Schizosaccharomyces pombe: one gene and its partners. The protein of the gene in region 2 binds, or shares a complex with, the protein of the main gene of each other region. Each region holds a gene or a part of one and is shown on either strand. Other genes may lie near its edges. A codon is read from its position in the direction of its gene.

The links.
Region 1: the proteins of alp13 (region 2) and pst2 are in contact, whole or in part, in a cryo-EM structure (PDB 8IFG), measured with the Schizosaccharomyces pombe proteins. Residues at the interface, in NP_593394.1 of Schizosaccharomyces pombe: Asn192 (codon at 1,509), Gln193 (codon at 1,506), Gln325 (codon at 1,061), Asn326 (codon at 1,058), Ala327 (codon at 1,055), Pro328 (codon at 1,052), Pro329 (codon at 1,049), Arg332 (codon at 1,040); in NP_593646.1 of Schizosaccharomyces pombe: Arg342 (codon at 2,912), Leu343 (codon at 2,909), Pro345 (codon at 2,903), Glu347 (codon at 2,897), Glu348 (codon at 2,894), Val369 (codon at 2,831), Trp374 (codon at 2,816).
Region 3: the proteins of alp13 (region 2) and cph2 are in contact, whole or in part, in a cryo-EM structure (PDB 8I02), measured with the Schizosaccharomyces pombe proteins. Residues at the interface, in NP_593394.1 of Schizosaccharomyces pombe: Asp176 (codon at 1,557), Lys179 (codon at 1,548), Leu180 (codon at 1,545), Leu182 (codon at 1,539), Val183 (codon at 1,536), Asp184 (codon at 1,533), Trp186 (codon at 1,527), Glu187 (codon at 1,524), Thr190 (codon at 1,515), Lys191 (codon at 1,512), Val227 (codon at 1,404), Gln230 (codon at 1,395), Gly234 (codon at 1,383), Leu235 (codon at 1,380), Ile237 (codon at 1,374), Tyr238 (codon at 1,371), Lys241 (codon at 1,362), Cys242 (codon at 1,359), Asn245 (codon at 1,350), Met246 (codon at 1,347), Leu247 (codon at 1,344), Leu248 (codon at 1,341), Tyr249 (codon at 1,338), Arg250 (codon at 1,335), Arg253 (codon at 1,326), Gln254 (codon at 1,323), Tyr256 (codon at 1,317), Leu257 (codon at 1,314), Arg260 (codon at 1,305), Gln261 (codon at 1,302); in NP_592978.1 of Schizosaccharomyces pombe: Cys269 (codon at 1,862), His286 (codon at 1,811), Thr288 (codon at 1,805), Cys289 (codon at 1,802), Ile290 (codon at 1,799), Asp291 (codon at 1,796), Pro292 (codon at 1,793), Pro293 (codon at 1,790), Ile294 (codon at 1,787), Glu295 (codon at 1,784), Thr333 (codon at 1,670), Met334 (codon at 1,667), Val335 (codon at 1,664), Trp338 (codon at 1,655), Met339 (codon at 1,652), Leu341 (codon at 1,646), Cys342 (codon at 1,643), Ile345 (codon at 1,634), Asp346 (codon at 1,631), Pro350 (codon at 1,619), Ile351 (codon at 1,616), Gln352 (codon at 1,613), Phe353 (codon at 1,610), His354 (codon at 1,607), Leu355 (codon at 1,604), Pro356 (codon at 1,601), Ser358 (codon at 1,595), Ile359 (codon at 1,592), Ser360 (codon at 1,589), Phe362 (codon at 1,583).

Annotation. Positions count from the first base shown.
Region 1 is NC_003424.3:2,158,486-2,164,630, reverse strand, and holds pst2 (Clr6 histone deacetylase complex subunit Pst2), read right to left. Parts: upstream 4,146-6,145; 5' UTR 4,060-4,145; coding exon 4,029-4,059; exon of another isoform or gene 3,983-4,028; coding exon 3,802-3,982; exon of another isoform or gene 3,724-3,801; coding exon 708-3,723; 3' UTR 553-707; downstream 1-552. Other genes in the region: Polo kinase Plo1, read right to left, coding at 1-391; ER zinc importer, CDF family, Zhf1, read right to left, coding at 4,656-5,819. UniProt on the Schizosaccharomyces pombe protein: Has a role in chromatin assembly and chromosome segregation. Involved in the deacetylation of histones.
Region 2 is NC_003424.3:1,586,470-1,590,505, forward strand, and holds alp13 (Clr6 histone deacetylase complex, chromodomain subunit Alp13/Eaf3), read right to left. Parts: upstream 2,109-4,036; 5' UTR 2,083-2,108; coding exon 1,154-2,082; intron 1,105-1,153; coding exon 1,020-1,104; 3' UTR 859-1,019; downstream 1-858. Other genes in the region: SPOM_SPAC23H4.21 (uncharacterized protein), read right to left, coding at 1-4; SPOM_SPAC23H4.13C (uncharacterized protein), read left to right, coding at 224-394, 475-858; centromere localized protein Cnl2, read left to right, coding at 2,486-2,922, 2,994-3,123; thi4 (bifunctional thiamine-phosphate dipyrophosphorylase/hydroxyethylthiazole kinase), read left to right, coding at 3,631-4,036.
Region 3 is NC_003424.3:543,575-548,259, forward strand, and holds cph2 (Clr6 histone deacetylase-associated PHD protein-2 Cph2), read right to left. Parts: upstream 2,686-4,685; 5' UTR 2,667-2,685; coding exon 843-2,666; 3' UTR 553-842; downstream 1-552. Other genes in the region: SWI/SNF complex subunit Snf5, read right to left, coding at 3,090-4,685.

The DNA of each region.
Region 1 (6,145 bases), 570 kb from region 2:
TACGTAAAAGTTCCATTAAAGATTTATGTTCACAAAGCTCCAAAATTAAGTAAATATTCGTCGAATCTTCAAAACAATCTATAAATCCTACGATGTTTGGATGACTCATGGATTGGTGCACCTTTATTTCTCCAAAGAGCTTCAGCTTTGTTTTATCATTTTGTAGTGACCTTTTAGCAATAACTTTAGCAGCGTAAATATTTCCATAATTATCTTTGACTCGAAAACATCTCGCAAAGCCGCCTTCACCAATGCAATCGTAGCGAGTGTAGAATATATTTTTTTTATTATTATGAAGATTAGTTGGCGGAGTAAAGCAAAGACGAGAGGCTTTGGACTTCTTCTTCGGGGTTATAGCAGTTTTGGGCTCTTTAATTGCAACACTCGCCATTTGGTATTTGTTTCTAACAAAACGCAGGTGGTAACTTTTGAGGGTAAACAAAGTGGTTGCTACGACAACCGCTTGTTTGTAAATAAAAATCTGTGCATTGTAATATTTTATGTAGTAATTACAGAAGTACGGCTTTAGAAAATTTAATACAAAGCTTATGTGCAAAAATTTCAGTAAATTCGTACTATACATAAATCCTTGAAATTATAAAATACCTAGAAAGATAAGTTATGTTAACAAAGTAATATAAAACTATTAAAGTCAAATTGTATTTAAGTAAATATGATCAATAGGTAGGTCGACTGCATTAAAATCATTATGGGATAAATAGTGCATTAATGTCAGCATCAAAATTCACCTCTGCCGTGTTGTCAGAAGTTCCCCTAACCGATTTTAATAACGATTCCCATCGATTTCTCCAACGCTGTTTTCTTTTATTCTGGCAATCAAGGAAGTCGGTATCTCTAAGGCGCAGGTAAGATGCATCTATGTAAGAATCTTCTGTGCGTGGTAAGTAGAGCAATTTAAACGAGTCTAAACATAATTTTGCTTGCAATCCGGAAACCAATTCTGCAGATCTTAATAACTTTGTTTGAAGGCGTGAAACCAATTGCTCAACTGTTCTTTCTTTCTCTATATTTCTGCAAAGAAAGGGACAACGATAATTTTTATAAGATATTTCTTCAGTAAGTTTTTGTATACGATAATTTTGAACATATTTTTTCCAAACTCGTCTCTGTGTATCCAAACTTTGATCCACAATAAGATTCGCTCGCTTCATTATTTTGATTCCAAATGATTTAAATTTGTTTATCCAACAAAATCGAAACAAAATTTCATCAGGATTCAAAAGCTTTTCAATTTCCAAGCGATAAAGAAAGTCATCATAATTCTTCTTAGGCGAAGCAGAACTATTTTGTTCGACTAAACTAGTAACGAATTTGTATTTTCCATCGGAAACGATGTGGTGGACTTGTTTAGCAGCAGACCAAACGAGTTTATCAATAGTATATATTTTATAGGCTTTATTGCCATAATAAAACCGCAGATAGTCCTCGAAGGCACTTTGATCAACTATCCCATATATTAATCGAAGAATCATCACATAAGTATTTTCGTAATGAGTTTTTTCATCAGGGACATCTGAAAGATCATTCCACCTATCGCGCCAAATCTTTTGTTTTTGAGATACTGGGTTTGGTATTATACGCTGTTGGATAATGGACACTTGATCCTCCAAACGCTGAAGCTCATAAAGCCTTTCGTATAATAAGTTAAAAAGTCTAAAAAATACGTACATAGAAGAATATCCAAACTGTTCTTTATCGACGTCGTCATGCATTTCATTCTCCGTATCACCAGCATGATCTTGATGTTCCAAAAGACTATCTGGATGACTTGGATATTTGAGACTGGCTTTAATGGCTGCAGCAGGTTGTGAAAGCTGTTTCTTAGAAACCGGCGTTACGTTTCCAGATTCATCACTTAAAGAGTTTTGAGAGTTAGATTGTGATTTGTTACCGGATTCTTCTTTTTTGCGAGCAGCTGCAGCTGAACGACTTTCGCGTTGACCATTGATTTTAGGTTGTTTTACAAATTCCGTCAACTGGGTTATAGAATTAGATCTTTTCCGACGTACAGGCTTGTTACCAACTATATTCGGGGCATTCACATCGTAATCAGGACCACGAAAAACTTGATCCAGGAATATCGAAAATTTATCCTTTTCAAGACCAAAATGTAAAGGCAATATATTCTTGAAAAAATGCTCAACTTTCTTTAAACCAGAGGGAGAGTTACATACAATGTATGTGCATACCATATAACAAGTATCAAAAAGTACTATTTCGTTGTCATATACAAAAGAAAATTCGAAAGCTGATCTACTTCGCAAAGGAAAATGGAGCTTCGCTTGCGATCGTAGAATGTCGGCTTCTGCTAAGAGAAACTTTGAAGATACATTCTTCTTATCTCTTGCCTTAAAATAAACGCATTGTGAATCTAAGCTCTTATCGTAATTTTTAAACTCAATACTTCGCCATCCAGGTTGAAGACTTCTTTTAACAGACTTCCACTCTTCGTTTTTTTCTTCTAATCTGCTGATTACCAATGGTAATGTGAGGCAAGGCATTCTTTCCAAGGCCTTAAACATTTCCTCTGCATGCTCACTGGTATAAACAAGCTTAATAGTTTTCTTGTATATACTTTTTGATGGTAAACCTAGCCCTTCCTCGAGAGTATATGTTTCTCTTTCCTCTTCCGGCAATTCATTTATACGGTTCTGAATTTTTTTAAGAGACTTGATTGTCCAGGAAGTAGCTTCAATATGCCGATCAAATTCATAACGTTCCTCTTCCAACTTTGTCATTGCCTCTTCATAAGGCGTTTTCCTCTGAACAATGAAACCGCTTTCTTCAGATGCCCAAGTTGGATGACTGACCCAGTCATCATTAAGTATACCCCATGCAAAATCATCTCTACCGCTGCAAGAAATATTGCGTTCTTCGACAGGAAGCAATCGGTAACTCGGGCCACATTCCGGGAAGTCTGAGCAAGCGGAATTGTATACAGATAAAAACTCTTCCGGACTCAAACTAGTAAGGCTTAAAAAGCTTCTCCAAAGTCCCGAATTCGATTTAAGAAACCCAAACCCACGACTCACCAGAATATTTCTATCAATTATCCCTTGAACGTACAAATTCAGGAGTTTTAAAAATTCGTGGTAAGTTTCTACATCGGTAAGTACATTTTTCACATTTTTGAAAAAGTCACTGCTCTCATTTGATAAATGTGAAAATGGTGAGAGGTTGTCCGGCCTTGATTGACTAAGCAAATCAGAAATATTACTCAACGTAAATTGGGAACTCTGAATTCCTCTTAATGGAAACGATCCTAGAGGAGGTTTACTCCCAAAAAAGATGGAGCTTGGTAAAAAGTTGTGAAACTCGTGGGCTAAAGATGGATGCTCCGCTAGCAAAGACGTTACAATAGTCTGAAGCTCAGAAAGCGAACACTCAGAGTTTTTAAACTTACGAAGACTATCCTGTAATTTAAAGAACTGTTCGGGATTGCTCAATAATGCTCGTCGAACTCGTGAAACAAATCCTATAGCTCTATGATAGGTACAAGGTAAGTCGTTGTAAGTAGCTACATAAGTAGACGGTGTAGAAACTGGACCAGATGGGGTGGTAAATTGCAATGTGAAGTTGGCACCGCTATTCGATAAAAGGTATTTATAAGACGAGGGCAAAAAGATGTTCAAATATTCTAAAAGATCTGGGTAATCTCTTAAGATTACAGATATTCTTTCAATAAACCCGGGAAAATCGACACTAATGTTCATGTTAATAAGTGAATAGTAATAAAAAAAGAGCTATCTCAAAGCAACTCAGTAAATAAGCCATATATACATTTCATTGTGTAAAGCCTTCACAACATCCATGAAAGCGCTATAAACATAAGGACGATGACACAGTCTTTGACCCAACTTTTGAACGAATGCCTTTATATCAAGCTCGGGGAGTGCGGTACCATTAGGGGAAAAATCATGGACTAATTGATTCTGCATCTCGGCCACTAACGTTGAGTTGTCTAACAACATTGGTTAAAATGAGTTATGTATTAAATTGATACGTACCATTTTTTAATATCGCTAGTGTTTGTTCCATGTATTTTGATCTTTAACCATCAAATGACTAGGAATACGATCTCGTTTATTTTGGAGGTGATGATTTGGGAAACGGCAAATGCAACTAAGCGCACAAACTCGTCAACGCATTACATGAACTGACGCTGATAGCCAAAGTTCAAATGATTTATCAAGACATGAACACAAATACCACATTGGATGGTGTTTTACACTTACAACGAATACTTTAGAAAAAATACTAACGAGAAGAATCAAACCCAATATAATTGTTAAAAAATATTCCTTTTAAATAATTAAACACTACATCTAAACATTATTTTCTAAGAATAATAGAGATTTAATAAAACCGAAACTATGCATCGTCTTCATCAAGAATAAGAAATCGAAAACTATCTACTTTCAAAGTTAAGTTGTCGACTACTTTACTTAAGTGCATTCGCAAAACAAACAACCAAGATGGTGAAATAAAGTTTTTAAATACGAACAGGAATGGCAGAAGAAATTACGCTTTAAAAATGAAACAAAGTAAACATTCAATATAAAATTTTACCTCAAGAATAAATCAAAAGATGTGACACAATAGATTAACCACGTTAAATTTATAATGTTCGCAAACTAAGACGAGGAACCTTGGTCACATAAAAGCGGATGATTGGCGAATTCTGGTTGAATGGTAACATCATATATACCAAAAGATTGAAGGACATTACGGATATCCGTAGTAAGCTTTGTATAAGACTCTCCCTTATCATCAGGAAGTGTAACGCAGACATGAACAGTGGCAATTAATTTAACGTCCGAAAGCTGCCAGATGTGGAGTTCATGAACAGATTCCACGCCGTCTAGATGATTAATTAGGTTGGAAACATCATCCAGTTTGATGCTTTGAGGAGCAACTTGTAATAAGATGAGAGCAGCGGATTTACAGAGAGGAATTGCGCTAAAAAGAATAATGAAAGTAAGAAGGATACTAATGCATGGGTCAAAGAGGAAACGCCAAGAATAGTCAGTATACTTGATGAATAAAGCAGCACTAATAACACCAATATTACCGAGAGCATCACCCAAGACATGAAGAAAGACACCATGCATATTCAAATTTCGTTTCTTCGTTTGTTTTGGTGCATCTTGTTCAATACTGCCATGGTTGTTGACTGGCTTTGAAGTACCAGCACCATTATGATTACCAGTGTAACTCAATAAAGGAGAAGATTCGGTAGCAGAGTCTGCGACTTGAGTGTGTGTATGGCTGACTTCTTGTTGACTGGTATTACAACGATGAACGATAGTCGAAGGTAAAACGGATTCAATATCATCTTCTTCAGGAAAATCGTAATTTTGAGCGGTATGGGTGTGAGGATGATCATGACCATGGTCATGAAATAAAAAGATACCAACGAAATTGCTTAGCAGACCTAAAGAACCAACAAAGAACATAAGGGTGGGATTGCTGACAGAAGGAGGCTCAATGAAGCGCTCTATGGCTTCCATAAAAATGAACATGCAAAGGGCAATGAGAAATACACCGTTCGACAAAGCACCTAAAATCTCTGCACGTTGCCAGCCATATGTGTATTTTGGTTCGTGAGATGTTGAATGTGCTAGACGAGTAGCCCAGAGAGCGACCAGTAAACTGACAATGTCATTTAACATATGAAATGAATCAGCAATTAGGGCAAGTGAATCGATCGCATAACCAGTAATAATTTCGATGAAGAAAAAAGTAACATCAATACCTAATAAAAGGATAATCCGAGTTTGTCTTGCGAGGTCGAACATAGTTTGAAAACGAAAAGTCACCAATTTCAAAAAAATGGTAAGGGTTGAATTTCACAGGGAGAAAAAGGAATAAGGTAAATTTAGAATGAAAGGTGGCTTTTTAAAAATGAATTTAAATAAAAGAGGCGCAAACTTGCTATATTTAACAAAAAAAAAAGCCAAAATAAGACGAAGATGCGAGAGGGTTTAAGAAAATCTAAAGAATCAAATATCTGTAATTTTGCTTTCCTTGTTTTTACAGAATAAATTAATTAAACCAATAAACCTTCAAAAAACTGCCAAAACTGCCGTTTTTGATAGTAAATTAAAAAGGAGGCTTTTGAGAA
Region 2 (4,036 bases):
ACATTTTAATAACAATCCGTTAGATATAACAAACTTATTCATTTCATTTGTTCTGTTAATTTTGCAAAGTTGCTTTTTACTGCTTCGTATTAATTTCGAACAATCAAACTACTTATTCCGCAACACTATATGCTTAACCATCTTTTTTACGCTTATCATTTTCTTCTTCAACTGGTTTGATATCCATATTTTCACTAGTGCAAAATTTTCGATCATTCTAAAAATGAGTTCGAACAGTGCTGTTCAAAGCAAAAGTCCTTTGCTTCCTAAAGAAAATCCGCCTGTTAAAGCTTTTCCAGATAATATACAAGTTTCGTCCAGCTTATTGTCCTTCTTAATTTACATATTATATACTTTTTCTATCAGTGGTCTCTCGACTTTCGTTATTACAAAAGTAAGTACACATTCTTAGCAAGTTGTGGTTAGTTTTTATATTTACTGGTTCTTATTTACGTCCAACTCACCAAATTCTAGTATTACATACGTCCTCAATGGTTATACACATTGGCCCTTAGACGGGCACTCATAAAGCTTTATTACAATTTTATGGATGGATTCAATAAGCGGACTGATACATTACAACATCGGGTTGACGATAAAAAAATTTTAAAAACAATAGAAAAATGGAGTTGTATTAAAGAAAAATTGAGAAGAGTTGCCAATATAACTGAACAGGAGCAGCAGTGTATCCCGGCAGAAAGTTCGTTAGACCTGAGCATCCAGGCAATGAAAGGTGTCGTAAATGCAGAACTTTATCAGTTTGGAAGTCAAATTTCTGGATCTTTAGAATTTGATACTCCAATTGGCAATTTGCAGAAGCAAATTGTCTCTTTGAAGAGCAAAATGATTAATATCTGAATATTAAGGAACAACATAATAATTGCATGAATTCTCTGAATGCCTTATGTTGGTCCTACTGCATTCTATAGATAATAGTGTATTATATCTCAAAAAGAAAACGTATATATTTTAGATTACCGTTTTAGTTATCTTTGGGATAGATGCAAACGATCATAATTTTATACACCAACCAAAGATCTATAGTTTGGAGGGGCGTTTTGATATTCTTTAATAAAATATTCATCTTTATGTAGAACGAGATACCTAAATAAATGGTTAGTATAGTAGGGGAGTTTAAAAGCAGTAAACATACTTCAAGAATTCTTCAATGTAATTCAACAAACACTCGATGGATTGTGAATCCATATTAGTCCGGTCAATCAATTCAGGAAGGCTTACAAACAAGCGAATTAAATGTTCGACGCCATATAAATCACACATTTCAGTATCAGGATATTGCTGCCGAATTTCTAAATATTGCTGCCGTTCAAACCGATACAGCAGCATATTGCCCAAGCACTTATTAAAGTATATAACCAAACCAGCCATCGCTTGTTCAAAAACATCAACGTCTATTTCATTGTTCAAATGAGAAATCTTGGATTCTCGGAAGGCCGCTATAGCAGCCCGGACGGTGGGATTCCGCGGTATAGCTATTAACTGTTGATTTTTGGTAATGTTTTCCCAGTCATCAACAAGCCATAGCTTTAGAACGTCCGGGACACTAATCTTGTGTTTTGGAAGCGGTGGCTCTTCCTCAAAATCGTCTTTCTCGTTATTCTCGGGCTTAGTAGTTTCCTCGTTTTTAGCATCGGTTGTTCCATCGCGTTTCACTTGTTGAGGAATTGGAGACTCTGATTTTTGGGTTTTTATACGTGAAGGCAATTCATGTGAATCGCCATCAACCGTTACGGTGCTCGATTCTCGAGACCTCTTTCCTGATGTTTTAACTCCAGTTGAGTCATGTTTCGAAGTGCTGGATGCGGACTTTTTAGAAGTCGGTTTTTGTCTCGTAGAGATAGCGGCATTTTTTAACTCTTTCTGAGTCTTTAAATTTTCTTCTGTCCATTGTAGTATCCTATCTTGTTCAACCCATTCATCCCAACTGTTTTTCCATCCTTTATAATGAATCAGGTACGTGGTAACATCACCTTTCATTTCAGTATCAACAATTTTAGCCTCATAGAGTAACGGGCCGTGAAAGCATAGTACACGTTCATTCACCTTATATGACACGGCCATTCCAACAACGTTGTAGGTATGGTGGTGAGTTAGAAGTAAGAGGACGTGTGCCAAAACAGTACACTTAGCAAATTTATCCTACTTTGAAGGAGTTAGCTATTTTGTTTTAAAAATTATCTAGACCCATTAACAAACGGTGGGTGTAACAGGATACTATCTAAGCAACAAATTCATTCATCTGCAAAATGCTTGGAGAAAGTGCTATCAGTAAGTTACTGTTTTAGGATTTTTAATGATAAATTAAAAATAAACTTTCATTATGTTCAGCAAATACGTCCCAATACGCATTATAAAAAATGCTTTAGTCAAAAGGATACTTTAGGAAAAATTAGCTTTTCTACATGAGTTTTCATCAAATGCTGCGTTTCATTTATTCAATTTACTAATATCTCAAAGGTTGCTCATGAATATGGAGGAACAAATACTTAATGATTATCTTCTTTCTCAAGGGCGGTTGCAGTCTATTATAAGCTTAGAACAATGGCGGCAACTGTTTCCTCAGAGATACAGAGAAGACCCACTGATTGAGCGTTTATACGAATACTGTACACAACAAAGACAAAAGCGATTAGCAAAATTGAGAGCTAACATCCATCTCGAGAGTCAAGTTATCGGCAAAAGCAGAATAGATAGGATGTTGGCAACAAATGTTGAGAAACTGCAAACGGTCAGTCATGCCTCTACATTGCACGATGTAGAAGAATTTTACACATCACATAGTGCAAAACCGCTGGACATAAGTGAAATCAATGAGCGGCTTTCTGAAGCTGTGCAATCTGCTTATACAAAATTAAATGAGGAAAAAGAGCGCTGCACACAATTGACTCTTAAAATGAATAGGTATGAGGTTGATTAGGAATTTGGGTTGTTTTAATTGAGCTTTATTTAGCTTGCTAATAATTTCTTTCTAGTCAGATTGCATCCCTTAGCGATTTTCAATGGTCAAAAGAGCCAAACGTTGACGAGTCAATTCATCTTGTAGAATCTTTAATTGAAAGTTTAGAAAAGGCAGCACCTTCTGCAATAGAAGAATTAGACTAGGACCTTCAAACGTTAAGCTGTTCCATATTTATTCAATAATATAGCTTTAACGGGTATTTATTACAATGAATGAATTTTTTTTTCTTTTTAATAATTAAATATAACGTTATTCTGCACCTTTTTAATAAGATATATCTGTTCCTTTATAAACTCATTTCATTAAAACCTGTTCAAAGTAATGCGAATATATTTTCTTCAAAAGCATGCAGTATTTGTTCCATTTGACAAACTACATTTTAATAGAGTGATTAAAATCAGTTATCACTAACTTGTCGTAGCACGCATCCGAACCATGACTAACACAGTATAAAAGATGGAGCAAAATTTGCAAACATAGTTTGTAACACTTTCGCCAAATTCTTGATTAAATTAGGATAATATTCAATTTTCATTTTTCTTAGCATAGAAAGATTGAACTGTCAAATTTTTGGTGTCCGCAACATAATCTGGCATTTCTAGGATTTTGTTTACTTACTTGACTTCTATATAAGAACTTTTATACCAAACATGAAACGTCAAATTGACTATTCTTTATACCTTGTAACTAGCTCTAGTTTAATTGCCCCAGGTTCTACTATAGAACGTCAGGTGGAAGAGGGAATTTTGGGAGGTGTCACGCTTGTTCAGCACAGAGAAAAAGACATCTCTACTAAATGCTTTGTAGAACGTGCTAAACGACTTTCTGAAATTTGCAAAAAGTACGACGTGCCTTTTCTAATTAATGATAGGATTGACGTGGCATTAGCTGTTGGCGCTGACGGTGTTCATATTGGTCAAGACGACATGGATTGTGCATTAGCCAGAAAAATTCTTGGCGATGATGCTATTATTGGAGTGTCCACTAATAATATCGAGGAAATTGAAAAAGCAGCTGCTGATGGGGCCGATTATGTGGGTATCGGTTCTATTTACG
Region 3 (4,685 bases), 1.0 Mb from region 2:
AAGGGAACAAAAAACGTATTGCCTATTAATTGACCTTGTAATAAATTTCGAGGTTACCCAATTCTTAGAACAAACTAATATGGAAAATAAAAACAAGCTAAAGGCACAATAAAGCATCTACTAAGTTACAAAGCAATGATAGACATGATGATGAAACCGACATGTTTTAAGGTAATTTTATTTTAGAGCAATGCAACTTTTCCTTATGTGCTAATAATGACACATTAAAAGGAATAAAAAAAATGTTAATAATACGTAAGCAAACTACTTTTGAAATTACACTATCATACAGTTTCTTTATTATTTCTGTGCTATTGTTTAAGTACTATTGCAAATCGCTTTGCATTCTATCCAGTTTATCGCAATCATTTGCTTGTAATTCAACTTATCCCAAAGAATTCTTTAGTTGTATCAACAGTTCTACGGTGAAACTAATAATTCAATATACAAAAATACTACACGTTAAAGCATTCAAATAAGAATAATTAAACGTGATAAAATTTGGCTTATTTCTGTACTCCATTTTGTAACGTAACTTTTCTTAATTTTGCAGTTCAACTATAAGTTAAAGTATTTGTTGCACAGCATAATTGCATATACAACTTAATTAAATTTACAATTAAGGAAAAATGCCTGCACCTTTCCCAAGGAGACTTTTTGAATACCACACTTCGATCACAATTCACTAATTGGAAGCACCTTCGCAATACCAAAAATAAAGAAAAAAAATAAAACCATTCATATATGAAATCGTATCATTCATGGTTAGATAGGCATAAATATTAAGACATTTCAACGTCGAAGACACCGCACTTGAAAGAATCGAGGTGCTATGCTATCTTTCAATAGCTTAATAAGTTAGCCAAATCAAAAGGTGCAGGAACGGGTTGATTAGGATCCCATTTAGAAATTCTCAAAAGATCCCTTAAAGCCAAAACATAATCATCATTTTCTAAGTTGTCATTGGCAACATCGCAAAGGATTCGCAAAGGCAATTCACAATCACGGGTTGCATAAAAGTCAAATTTGGAAAAGGTTTCAATACATAGTTGTTCATCCTGCTCAACCATTTTACGTAAATTAATAACGTTATCACGTATTTGTTCTAAAAAGTTCAACTTAAACGGTTTACTAGGTACCACACGTATTTTTCCCTGTAGTTGTATTGTTTGCACAGATGGTTCATCCTCATTTTCATCAATAACTATATTTCCTTTATTTTTGAAACCACGAGGTAAACCGACACGAATAACCTTTGCTTTTTCAGGTAACCTATACCGAGGCGTGACATGATCGCTATGGTTAGGACATTTCCACTTCCGGAGATTCGAAGGCAAAGTTGCGAGTGGAGGATTTAAACAATCGGGATGCCAGTAGGAGTTACAATAATCGCAAGCTAGTATACTCTGAGAGACCAGAGCCGATTTATGACAACGAAAACATAAAATGGGAGTACCACTTTTACTCTTCAAAAGCAAAGGATCACGTTCTTCTCCATTGCTTCTTCGGCTAGATTTAAGATGCTTCAAAACATCCGTCTCGATATATTCACCCATCACTCCACTTCCGACACCTCTAAAAAAGCTGCTAATTGAATGAGGAAGATGAAACTGAATAGGATTGTGAGAATCAATATATGTACAAAGTTGCATCCACACATCAACCATCGTTCCTTCTTCTTTGACATTACTTTCCAATTCTTCTTGCTCATCCAATTCATTGTACAAGCTATGGTGTTTACATTCATTGCAATACCAAGCGTCATCTGGTAAATTTTTTTCTTCGATAGGCGGATCTATACAAGTAAAATGAAAACTATTCGGGCATGTTTCACAACACAAAAAATTGCCTGGACCATGACATGCGGAGCAGTAATCATTGTTATATCTGTATGGATATTCTTCAGGGGTAGGAAGTAATTCATTGCTACTAATGTCTTCGGCCCGGCCCTCCATGTCGTTAAAATTCTCTGATTCATTACCTAAATGTTTTTGGTTGGAATACACGGTAACATTTCGTGTAACATTATTCTCCGTTACGACCTCAGAGGTAGGAACAGGAATGTTAGCCTTGAAAGTTAGCTTCCCAGAAAAAAGAGGTTTGGAAGAGTTATTCGCTTTCTTCATCGATGAACTAGAGATATCAGATAAGTCTTTAGCCGTTGTTTTTAGAGACTTATTCTCTTTAAGGAGATTATTATTATTTCCTTTCTGGGGGTTGATTTTTCGTGATCTCTCTTGATCGGGTACTATAGGACGAAAGTCATCATCCAATGTATTCCAAGCCACAAATCCATCCTTAGTATCATAGGTTCTCCTAACTTTTCTTCTTAACTTAGTAATACTAGGTCCGTTGTTAGATGTATCATGATCACCTTTTTCTGCACCTTCACCATTCACATGCTTTCTCTTAACAGAAGGAGAATAATCTAAATCATCCTTGCTTCCATCGTCAGAGTTATCAACTGAGGCTCTACCATTAGAGTTGCCGTTTTGGGCCCTATTTCTTCTCGAGGTCGCTTTATTCGGTGAAGCGCTCCTGGAATTTATTGACCCATGCGAACTCTTTGCATTCCTTTCAGCACCGGCTTTTTGAATAATTTTAAGATCTTCCAAAATAGAAGCTTGAAAGGCTTCTGATGTATGATTCCATGGTTTTGCATCCATTGATGAAAACGTGGACGTCGTGTAGTGTGAACATACAATGAAGATTTATGCTAGCAAAGATGAATTTAACGAGAAACAAGGAAAGACTGCTATAAACCGAAAAGAAAGATTTGTTAGTTATTTTGTTTAAATATCAAAAATATTATAATTTCCAAAAACTGAAATGAAGGCTGTAAAGTAATTTGATTCATCGGTTACCCGTACATACTTTAAATTTAGCCACATGACTGAACATTAAGGATTAATAAGCCTTTGAATAATATACAGTGTATTTCCTCAAATTTAATAAATTAATCGTATTGAGGATAGAGTGCCTCATTTGTAACAGAAGCTATCAACTGAAAGAAACTGGTCCGTCGAGCTATCCATAACGTGAGTCAAATCTTGATTATGGTCTTTGATAAAGATTCTTCCAAAATTGTATTAAGTATTTCTATCCAAAACCGTATTCATTCTCACCTCCTTTTTTTGTTGATGCGAGCTTGACAACAAGTGGATATGGAAATTGCCAAACGTGAATCCTGGGCCGGCTGTAAAATACTCATTAATGCAATCATGACAACATATTCTCACAGTCATCCTTTCAGCAGGATTTAAAGCAGGTTTTACGATAACATTAAATCGATCATTCGGAAATTTTGCAAATGTCTCTATAACACATCGTTTAACCCAGGAAGGGGTAAAATCAGGTAAATTTAACTTTTGCATATGAACCAAAGCGGATTCAGAAGAATTGCTGTTAGTAAGAAACGCGTCAGAAGAAAGGCTAGGAGACGAAAATTGTGGTAATGGCGAAATATTTTGCCCATATGTAGAAGGTGTGTTCCTTTCACTTTCAAATTCGTTTAGTGAGTCAAAACTCATGGAATTGGGCAAGGGAGTGAGTTTCCGTTGTTGGAAGTTATTGAGGGTTAAGGTTTGTGATTGTTCAACGATTATTTTTAGTTTCTGAGAGTCAACTTTTAGACGCACAATTAAATGTTCTCTTTCAGGATTATTAGTATTAATTTCGTTAAGTGTCTCGCCATCAGAATTTGTAGATAAACTTAAAGCATGCATAAAGTCATCATCCGAGGGGACCGATGAACTGGGGAAGAGACTTCGATGTATTTTAGGAATGTCCCGAAGATCTGGTAACATAATCCCGTGTTTTGCCCTTCCTTGTCTACGCCGCATACGACGTGCTTCCCTATCATAACCTCTATCCTGCCGTTCCATTTCAGCATCGTTTAGCTCGTAAATCATTGGGGCAAAGGAGGAGGATTCCATGTCAGAGAACCGTAGTGTGTTTTTAAGAGGAGGTAAAATGTAAGAGCGAACTTCCTCGTCTTCGATTTCACTTCCGTCAAACAAATATCCTATAAGGCTTAAATATTTTATGTACATTTGGCACTGCTCACGAATTGAGTGAGCTACAGCTGTACAAAATTCTCCTGACAATCCTAGATCTAAGCACATCACAGTAGCAAATTCCTCAGCGCTGCTTTCAGGAGCAAACAAATTCCATTCAAATTGGTCAATAAGATTCAGCCGACCAATGGTAATATCAAGCTTGATCAATATCCTCAAATCGTTTTGTACAGTTGGAATTTGTTGCTTGGAAGCTTTAGCCAACGAATCTGACGGTTCGTGCGCATAAACAGTCTCTGAGGTAGACGAACTAACATCTGAAACAAAACTTAAATTAGACTGAGCCTTACGCGGCTCATAGTCATTTATTTGAGCTTGAATACTCTTTGAAATATTTTGAACAATATGTACATTATGCAGTGGAATATCATAATCAATGCAGATCTGTTCAGCAAATTGATCTAATGAAATACACTTGTCGTACAAATTCCACGTAAAGGAGTCTCTTAATTTGTAGCGATCAGCATCTATTTCAAGTCTAATAGGCACCAAATCAACCGGAAGTTTAGATTGGGCTAAATTACTTCTTCGACTGAAAGGGAAAGTAAATCGACCCTTAACCCTTCTTTTTTGCGATGGAAATAGTATTTTGGGTTTCAAAGCGGTCCA